Linked DNA regions of Callithrix jacchus. The protein of the gene in region 1 binds, or shares a complex with, the protein of each later gene. Links are inferred from orthologs where the notes say so. Each region holds a gene or a part of one and is shown in the gene's direction. Other genes may lie near its edges.

What was found.
Region 2: RIPK3 (region 1) and AIM2 share a complex: the UniProt entries of both Homo sapiens proteins name them as parts of the AIM2 PANoptosome complex. The link is inferred for Callithrix jacchus from reciprocal best matches to the Homo sapiens genes RIPK3 and AIM2.

Annotation. Positions count from the first base shown.
Region 1 is NC_133509.1:58,638,804-58,643,230, reverse strand, and holds the start of RIPK3 (receptor-interacting serine/threonine-protein kinase 3), read left to right. Parts: upstream 1-1,591; 5' UTR 1,592-1,785; intron 1,786-1,989; 5' UTR 1,990-2,188; coding exon 2,189-2,560; intron 2,561-2,982; coding exon 2,983-3,128; intron 3,129-3,254; coding exon 3,255-3,301; intron 3,302-3,504; coding exon 3,505-3,672; intron 3,673-3,779; coding exon 3,780-3,847; intron 3,848-4,084; coding exon 4,085-4,427. UniProt on the Homo sapiens protein: Serine/threonine-protein kinase that activates necroptosis and apoptosis, two parallel forms of cell death. Necroptosis, a programmed cell death process in response to death-inducing TNF-alpha family members, is triggered by RIPK3 following activation by ZBP1.
Region 2 is NC_133519.1:19,052,312-19,056,124, reverse strand, and holds part of AIM2 (interferon-inducible protein AIM2), read left to right. Parts: intron 1-2,887; exon of another isoform or gene 2,888-2,994; coding exon of another isoform or gene 2,995-3,244; intron 3,245-3,423; coding exon 3,424-3,557; intron 3,558-3,813. UniProt on the Homo sapiens protein: Sensor component of the AIM2 inflammasome, which mediates inflammasome activation in response to the presence of double-stranded DNA (dsDNA) in the cytosol, leading to subsequent pyroptosis.

The DNA of each region.
Region 1 (4,427 bases):
CAGGTTATTCTCTCTAAAGAGAATCACAAAGGGAGTGGCTGCCCCTTCTGATGGCTCTCAGCTTCTGACTAGGCTTTTCTGAGGATCTGCTACACTTCTTGCCTTCTTGGATTCTGTGTGATACCGCCATATCTCTATACTAAAGCCTACTTCAGATGGAGTTCATGAACTGTTCAGGTGAGAGCCCTCAATCCCTACAGGAACCCAATCTCCTCTTTCCTCCTAATGAGTATGGAGTTTCATCTAGGATGATCAGTGTCTTAAGGAAGGCTCAGTATTTTTGATTGTTCATTTATTCATTCAATTCAATAAATATTTATTGGGTACCTGTCATTTATTGGCTTTTAAAGAGACTATGGTTGAACAATTCCCTAAATGGCTCCAAAATAGCATGAGCTGACCCTACCAGAAGCCATGACATGGCTCTCCAGGAGCTGTTCTAGAAAAAACTGCTAGTCACTTCTGCTTCAACCAGCCCATGGACCACTGGACAAAATGGAAAGCAAGTACCAAGGTGAGCACCTTTTAGTGAGAGCCAACACACAACCCACAGGATTGAGTCTCCCTGTGAAGAACTGAGTGCCTAGGGCTGACCCTAGCTTGTTCCCACAACCCCCAGTCATGGTCAGACCTTAGAAAGGTAAAATATGGACACCTTTTTTCTGCCCTAAATCTTTAAGACGCTGCATGCTCCCGGGTTATCAAAGACCTGTGTCCGAGCACGTGCTTGTCAGGAACATTAATTAGGGTATTTGCATGCAAGAGCTGTCATGCAAGAGAGAGGGCAGGAAAGCTCTGAGGTGTTTCCACTGCAATGTACACCGCAATGTCAGCAACCTTCTGGCTGGGCTGATATATCTAGCCTTACCACAATGCCCTGGGAGTTGTTTTAGGGCTTGTCAGCTCCAGGGGCTCCTGTTCATAGGGCATATAAGTCCCTATCAGAGCAGCGATAGGGACTGGGCAGGAATACAGATAGGGGTCCTTCATTACATCGTTGGATGCTTCACACCTTCCCCAACCACCTGCATGACCAGCTGAGTGGTACAGCCCTGAAGTCTATGTGAAAATAGGAAAACTTGATGGTTCAGAGCCATTATTTCCACATGGGCTTAGGCATGATACTTAAACTCTCAGTGTCTCAGTTTCCTCGTCCATAAAAATAGTAATAAAAGCAGTACCTATCCTCTTAGGGTTCATGTGAGAATTAAATAAGCTAATATATGTACCTGGTGTGTAGTAACTTTTATATACGTGTTGGCTATAATCTTAGGGCAGCTGTGAGAGAGCTGAGCCCCAGAACCATAAAACCCTCTTAAGCACCATCCCCACTCACGGCCTGGCAGGTGGTGGAGCAGGAAATCCCGTGGGAAAAGGGAAGGCGTTGGCTGTAGGAGAGGGTCGATTGTGGGTTCCCGGAAGGTGAGGACTCCTTCCCTAACATCCTCAATGCCCAGCTACAACCAACCTGGCCGCGGCACGCAGCAGGCGCCCAAGAAACACTAGTCAGAGAGGAAAGCACTAGCTTTCGTTCTGCCCCCGTCCCACCCCAGGGGCGGGACTGTAGAGTCGCCTGAAAGGGAAGTTGTTCAGTCAACTCGGAATAGCGGTAGCAACCCGGAAAGTGGAATCATCATCTTGGTCTAGAGACTGACGCCTGTGCATGCAGACCCGTTCCCCTCTCTACCAAAGACCGCAGCCCCGGAAGTCACTCCATCTCCTGCAGCTCGCTATTTCCAGCGGCCCCCTCGTACCTTCCAGCCTGATGTCTCACGTCAAGTTATGGTGAGTAGGGAGTGGCGTGTGGATCTGAGTCTCCGACACTCACCCCCAGAGCTACCCGCGACTCGCTCAGAGAACGCCTTTGCGTCTAGGGACGGTGGGGGCGGGCGAGGGAGGCCGAGGATTGCAGTGGGCGCCGAGTCACGGGGGCGGGGGGAGCAGCGCGGACACTGCACTGCCGGCTAGTGGGCGACACCCCTCTCTCAGGTTGAACGGTGCTTCCGCCTCCTTGGTGTTAGACAAGTAATTGGAGAACCACAAGCTCGTCGGCTCAGGCGGGTTCGGCAACGTGTTCCGGGCGCATCATAGGAAGTGGGGCTGCGATGTGGCTGTCAAGATCGTGAACTCGTGAGTGTCCGGCCAAGGTCTGGGCAAAAAGGTGGAGCCGCTGTGCTCTGCGACCTGAATGGGGAAGGGAGGGATTCTCCCAGGACCCCGGTGCGACTCCAGCTCTCTACTGGAGTGTAGGAAGGCGATATCCAGGGAGGTCAAGGCCATGGCAAGTCTGAATAACGAATTCGTGCTGTGCCTAAAAGGGGTCATCGAGGAGGTGGGGTGGGACGACGATTTCAGGCCGGCACTGGTGACTGAATTCATGGAGAACGGCTCCCTGTCGGGGCTGCTGAAGCCCCAGTGCCCTCGGCCCTGGCCACTCCTCTGCCGCCTGCTGAAAGAAGTGGTGCTCGGGATGTGTTACCTGCATGAGCAGAACCCGGCGCTCCTGCACCAGGACCTCAAGCCATCCAACATCCTGCTGGACCCGGAGCTGCACGTCAAGGTTAGCCGGTCTACACCCCTCTCAGCCTCAGGACAAGGCCCCACCCCAGAGCTGCTCCAGCCAGGGCCACCAGACACTAGACCTGCAGAGCCCTGTCTGTTGAATAGGCACAGCCTCTCCCTCTGGACTCAGAGTTGTCAGGGGACAAAGCCCAGCCGGGAGTTTTAGCTCCTGCCCTACCAGGTGATAGAGGCCCTGACCCACACGAGTCATTTCCACCAGCTGTCCCACCAGGCCCTGGAGACTCAGACTTGGACCCAGCCCTACCACAGGGCACCTAGATCTACCACCCAAGGGAACCCCTTCCCTTGACCTTCACACTCTTTTTACAAAGCTGAATCTGCACCATCTGGGGGTAGGGAGTATTCTGGAGGCTGCCTGCTTTGTCTTCCCCGCTTCCCCCTTCTTCCCTTCATTTGCAGCTGGCAGATTTTGGCCTGTCCACATTTCAGGGAAGCTCACCGTCAGGGACAGGGTCTAGGGAGCCAGGGGGCACCCTGGGCTACTTGGCCCCAGAACTGTTTGTTAATGTAAACCAGAAGGCCTCCCCAGCCAGTGATGTCTACAGGTAAGGATCCCACCCCAAACACACAGCGGGGATTCCTACACCTCTCTTGGCCCTCCTAGGGGATGACGTATAGGAAAGGAGTCTTGCCAGTGATTGGACCTGTCCTCAGCTTTGTGTCTCCTGCAGCTTCGGGATCCTAATGTGGGCAGTGCTTGCTGGAAGAGAAGCTGAGTGTAAGACTCTAGGCAGATTCTGGGATCCTTAACCCCAGGTGCCCTTCTGAAAGCCCCAAGTCTTCCCCTTCCTGCTCATCTACTTAGACTGCCCTCCTCCCTCATGGTGCCCCCACATTACACTCCCTGCCTCTTTCCATGATGGACAGATATTCCCTTTTACCCCAAATGCCTTCTCTTCTCACCCACCTTCCCTACCCCAGTGCCGACCGAAGCATCACTGGTGTATGGAGCAGTGTGCAAGAGGGAGGCCCAGCCCTCACTAAATGAACTGTCCCAAGCTGGGCCTGAGACTCCTGGCTTGGAAGGACTGAAGGATTTAATGCAGCTCTGCTGTAGCAATGAGCCCAAGGACAGACCCTCCTTCCAGGGTGAGCTGCCCAGTTAGCTGGATCTGTGATAAGCTTGGGTCTGTCAGCAGGGGGCTCTTCTCAGGAAAAGATTTGCTCACCTGCAACCCAATCTACTGTCCCTCTAGAATGCCTACCAAAAACCGATGAAGGCTTCGAGCTGGTGAAGAACAATATGAATGCTGCTGTCTCCACAGTGAGCTCCCAACATCATCCCTCTCCAGGAGCTGGTCAGGGATAGCACAACATGACTACCTAGCCATCCAATGATGGCTTACCACCGATCACCGCTTTTTATGCCTTGAACTTTGTCCCCACCCTCCCCAGCCCACCCCCGAGTTCCCAGCCAACAGATTATGGACCAAGAGACTACTCCCTTGGGTTTGCTCTGGCTCATCCAAGTTATACCCAGCAAACTCCTCCATCCCTGCAGGTAAAGAATTTCCTGTCTGAGCTCAGGAGCAGCAATAGGTCAGGCCAAGGAAAGACAGAAATGGATGGCTTTGGGAGAAACACAGGAAGGCAGCACTGTTATGATGATTTCATGGATTCTGACCTGCTAAATAAACTGAATCTAGAGGATTCTTCCAGCTGTGTTCCTGAAAAATACCCAAGTCTTACCAAGAAGAGCAGGGCACAAGAGGAGCAGGTTCCACAAGCCAGGACAGCAGGGACATCTTCAGATTCAATGGCTCAACCTCCCCAGACTCCAGAGACCTCAACTTTCAGAAACCAGACACCCAGCCCCACCTCAACTGGAACACCAGGTCCTAGAC
Region 2 (3,813 bases), on another chromosome or scaffold:
GCACTCCAGCCTGGGTAACAAGAGCGAAACTCAGTCTCAAAAAAAAAAAAGTACAACTATAACAGCAAAAATTACAACAGCTTTTAACAGCATTTGTGAGTGTATAACACGGATGACATCACTTCTCAAACATGACTTATAGGAAGGCTAAATGAAGCCATGAAAGTGATACTATGTACGCTCATAATTCTATACAGATATAAACTGTTTGCTAGTATCTAAGGCACTGAAGAGAAAGGACTGCTTGTTATACATTGTATTTTCCCAGGCTATGTGAAGTTAGAAGGTGTAGTTCTTAGACATGGCCCCTAGATGGCAGTAACTACACGTTGTTTTGAAGTAACCAACTGCTCTTTTTCTTGTCTGGGATGAGACAGGAATCTAAGCATATTTATTGGCAAACATAGGCGGAGAATTTTAGAAATATCTTTTATTTTGTCATTAAATCAAGAATTAATTCTTCTCTTTGACACAAAGGATAGCACAAAGTTTCACCTTCTAAAATCTTCTCCCCATTTTGCTGTTCTAATGATCCTGGGATTTTGTTATTCTGATTCGATAGAAAAGATAGTTTGGGACTAGAATCCAGGGACTCTCCCAAATGAGAGTCTCCACATGTAACAGTTGCAGGATTCAACGTGTGCTTTTTGGATGGGTGCAAGTGGCTCACACCTGTAATCCCAGCAGTTTGGGAGGCCGAGGTGGGCAGATCACTTGAGGTCAGGAGTTGAAGACCAACCTGGCCAACATGGTGAAACCTCATCTCTAATAAAAATACAAAACTTAGCCAGGAGTGGTGGCAGGCGCCTGTAATCCCAGCTACTCGGGAGGCTGAGGCAGGAGAATCACTTGAACCTGGGAGGCAGAGGTTGCAGTGAGCTGAGATCACGCCTCTGCACTCTCACCTGGGCAACAACAGTGAGACCCTGTCTCAAACAACCACAAGACACAAAGTATGCTTCTTGTATGCTTTACAAGAAGGCAATTAAGTTCCATCAAAGCTAAAATTCCAACCACAGACATTCTTAGGCCTCCTTTGAATGTAGGAAATTTTTGTGTGTCTAGGCTACTTCTATTATTATAGGAAAACAATTTTTGTTTTGTTTTTTGAACAGTTAATCTTTTATTTTTGGTTAAGTGATCCCTCTCCATAGCCATTGCATGTCTGCATGTAGAGTGCTATATGCTGTTCTACTCACAACCTCACCTCACAGAAGATAGACGATACCTGGAGAATCTTTAATGAAGACAGAGGCAATAATCAGTAGACAAGAGAAGCTTTTGTAGGAAGCAAAATGAGATAATGTAAGGACATGGAAGCCTAGAGAAAAGAAGCTAAGAGAAAACGTGATCAAAGTCTACAAAAGTCCTGTAAGATTAAAATAAAATGCTCAAAAGGATAAATGAAATAATAAACAACAATGTGCACCCTGATTATTAAGGCAAATGAGAGATTCATAGTGGGCAGACAAGCTTATTCATAAATATTGCTTTGGTACCACTGTGTGAGATGAAATATGGCTGATGTGATGTGGCAGAATGATAGGTGGATTCCCTTGACCTCCCGTGACTGTTTTCTCTAGTATGCTGTCATCATAGAAGGCAGACTTTATCTGCATACCTTTCTGAAACCAGTTTCATGGAACTAACCTACCATTGGAAGATTAGTTTAACTTCTTTCTAGAGCAGAGATCCTGCTACAAAATCCCAGTCAGTCAACCACTTTGTGCCTCTTTGAAAGGTAATGACAGAGTACCTACTACCTCTTAAGACAGTTCATTCTACTCTTAGTTCTAATAATCAGTTTCTCTTTTTACTACAATCCAAGTGATGGCCTTGTTATTTCAGCCCAGAATTGCTCAAATTCTATCAGAAATGACAGCTGAGAATTTTTCAGTCCCTCTTCTGCCTGAGAGTGCCTTAAGTCACCAAACATGGCCATCTTATTACATGGTCTTTCTAAAAATCACGACTAGGAATTGGCTTTTCAAAATAACATATAACCTGACCATAGACCTGGAGGAGCCCAGCCAGATTATACAACTGCATTTTGTAGGCATTAGTGAGGAGCCAACATGCCACCCATCCATCCATTTCTTCATCCATTCAGTAAACATCTATTGAATTGCTAATAGATGCAAGGAATCCTTTTAGGTCCTTATGAGAAAACAAGGAGTTAAAAACAAATCCAGATTTTGTACAGCTTATACTCTAAAGGGAAGGTAGACATTTTCTTACAAGGCAAATGAATCCATGTGGTGAACGGAGAACAAAAGCTCTGATGGAAAGGAAGGAAGTTCTTTAGCAGCTGTGTCGAAGGAGCATTAACATGAGCCAGGAGTTAGAGCTGGTGTTGGCCAAATGCAGGTTCCACAGGGAAGTGACCCTTGAGCTAAGCTCTGAAAAATCCATAGCAGTTAAAGGTACCTTCAGTCAGAGGGAACACTGTGTGAAAATCCCCATGAGCAAGTGTTGACCTGCCTGAGGACTGAGAGAAGGCCAGTATGGCTGGAGTACAGAGAATCAATCTTCAGAGGGCAGGATGCGGTCCCCTTGACAGACAGTGCAAAGCCTTGTAGAACATAATCAGAAATCTGCCTTTGTTTCATAGCAGCAGTTGATTCATTTTCGCTACGATGTGAGATTTCATTTAACTTATAATCACATATACACATAAACTCATATACATATGTAGAGAGAGAATTGGTCTGTTTTTGATTGTTATTTTAGTCATTTGAGGCCATTGTGAATAATGCTGCTATGAATATTTATGCACATTATAAGCGTTAGGTACTTATCTTTGTATGTGTGTGTGTGTGTGTTTCTTTTGACTGTACACCTCTGCGTGGAATTACTGGATGTTAAGGTAAGTAGATATTGAATTTTAACAAATAGTGTCCCAAACCATTTTCCAATGTGTTATACAATTTAAGCCTACTACTTCCTAGTTTCTTTTATTTTTGTTTTTGTTTTTGAGACAGACAGGGTCTCACCATGTCATCCAAGCTGGAGTGCAGTGGTGTGATCACGGCTCACTGCAGCCTTGAACTCCTGGGCTCAAGTTATCCTCCTGCCTCAGCCTCCCAAGTAGCTGCGACTGAAGACATGTGCCATTGCACCTGGCTAATTTTGAAAACATTTTCTGTAAATATGGGGTCTCCCTATGTTGACCAAGCTGGTCTCAAACTCCTGGCGGCCTCAAGCTATCCTCCAGCCTTGGCCTCCCAAAGTGCTGAGATTACAGGTGTCTATGTCATGTTGTTTCTTTATTTTTAAAATAAGATTTATTATTTTTTTTAGAAAAGTTAGCTGTTCTTGAAGATATCTTAATATGGTTTTAATATTTATTTCTGGTGACATTTGAAAATGTGCACGCTCATATGTTTATATGCTTATTGGCCACGTCTTTCGTTTTTTAATCAGTTGATCAGAAATACAAACCCGTAACAAAACCAAAGCCACTAAGTCAAGCTGAAATGAGTCCTGCTGCGTCTGCAGCCATCAGAAAAGATGTCACAAAGCAACGTGCTGCACCAAAAGTCTCTCCTCATATTAAGGTAGGAGGAGGCGAGTGGAGTGGCCTTTGTCCTTGTAAGAGCGTCCTCTAGTCACTGTCACTGTCACTTCTCACACGGTTCTCTGTTCTTTATCTCACAGCATGCAAATAAGGGAAGCAAGGCCACAGTATGAAAAGTGATCTGAGTCACAAAAAGAGGAACTACCTCTGATTTATCAGATTAAACACCTGTTGAGCTTCTAATCCCTTCCAGGCCCTGGACACATTAACACTTGGTTATGGTTTGAATTCTACAA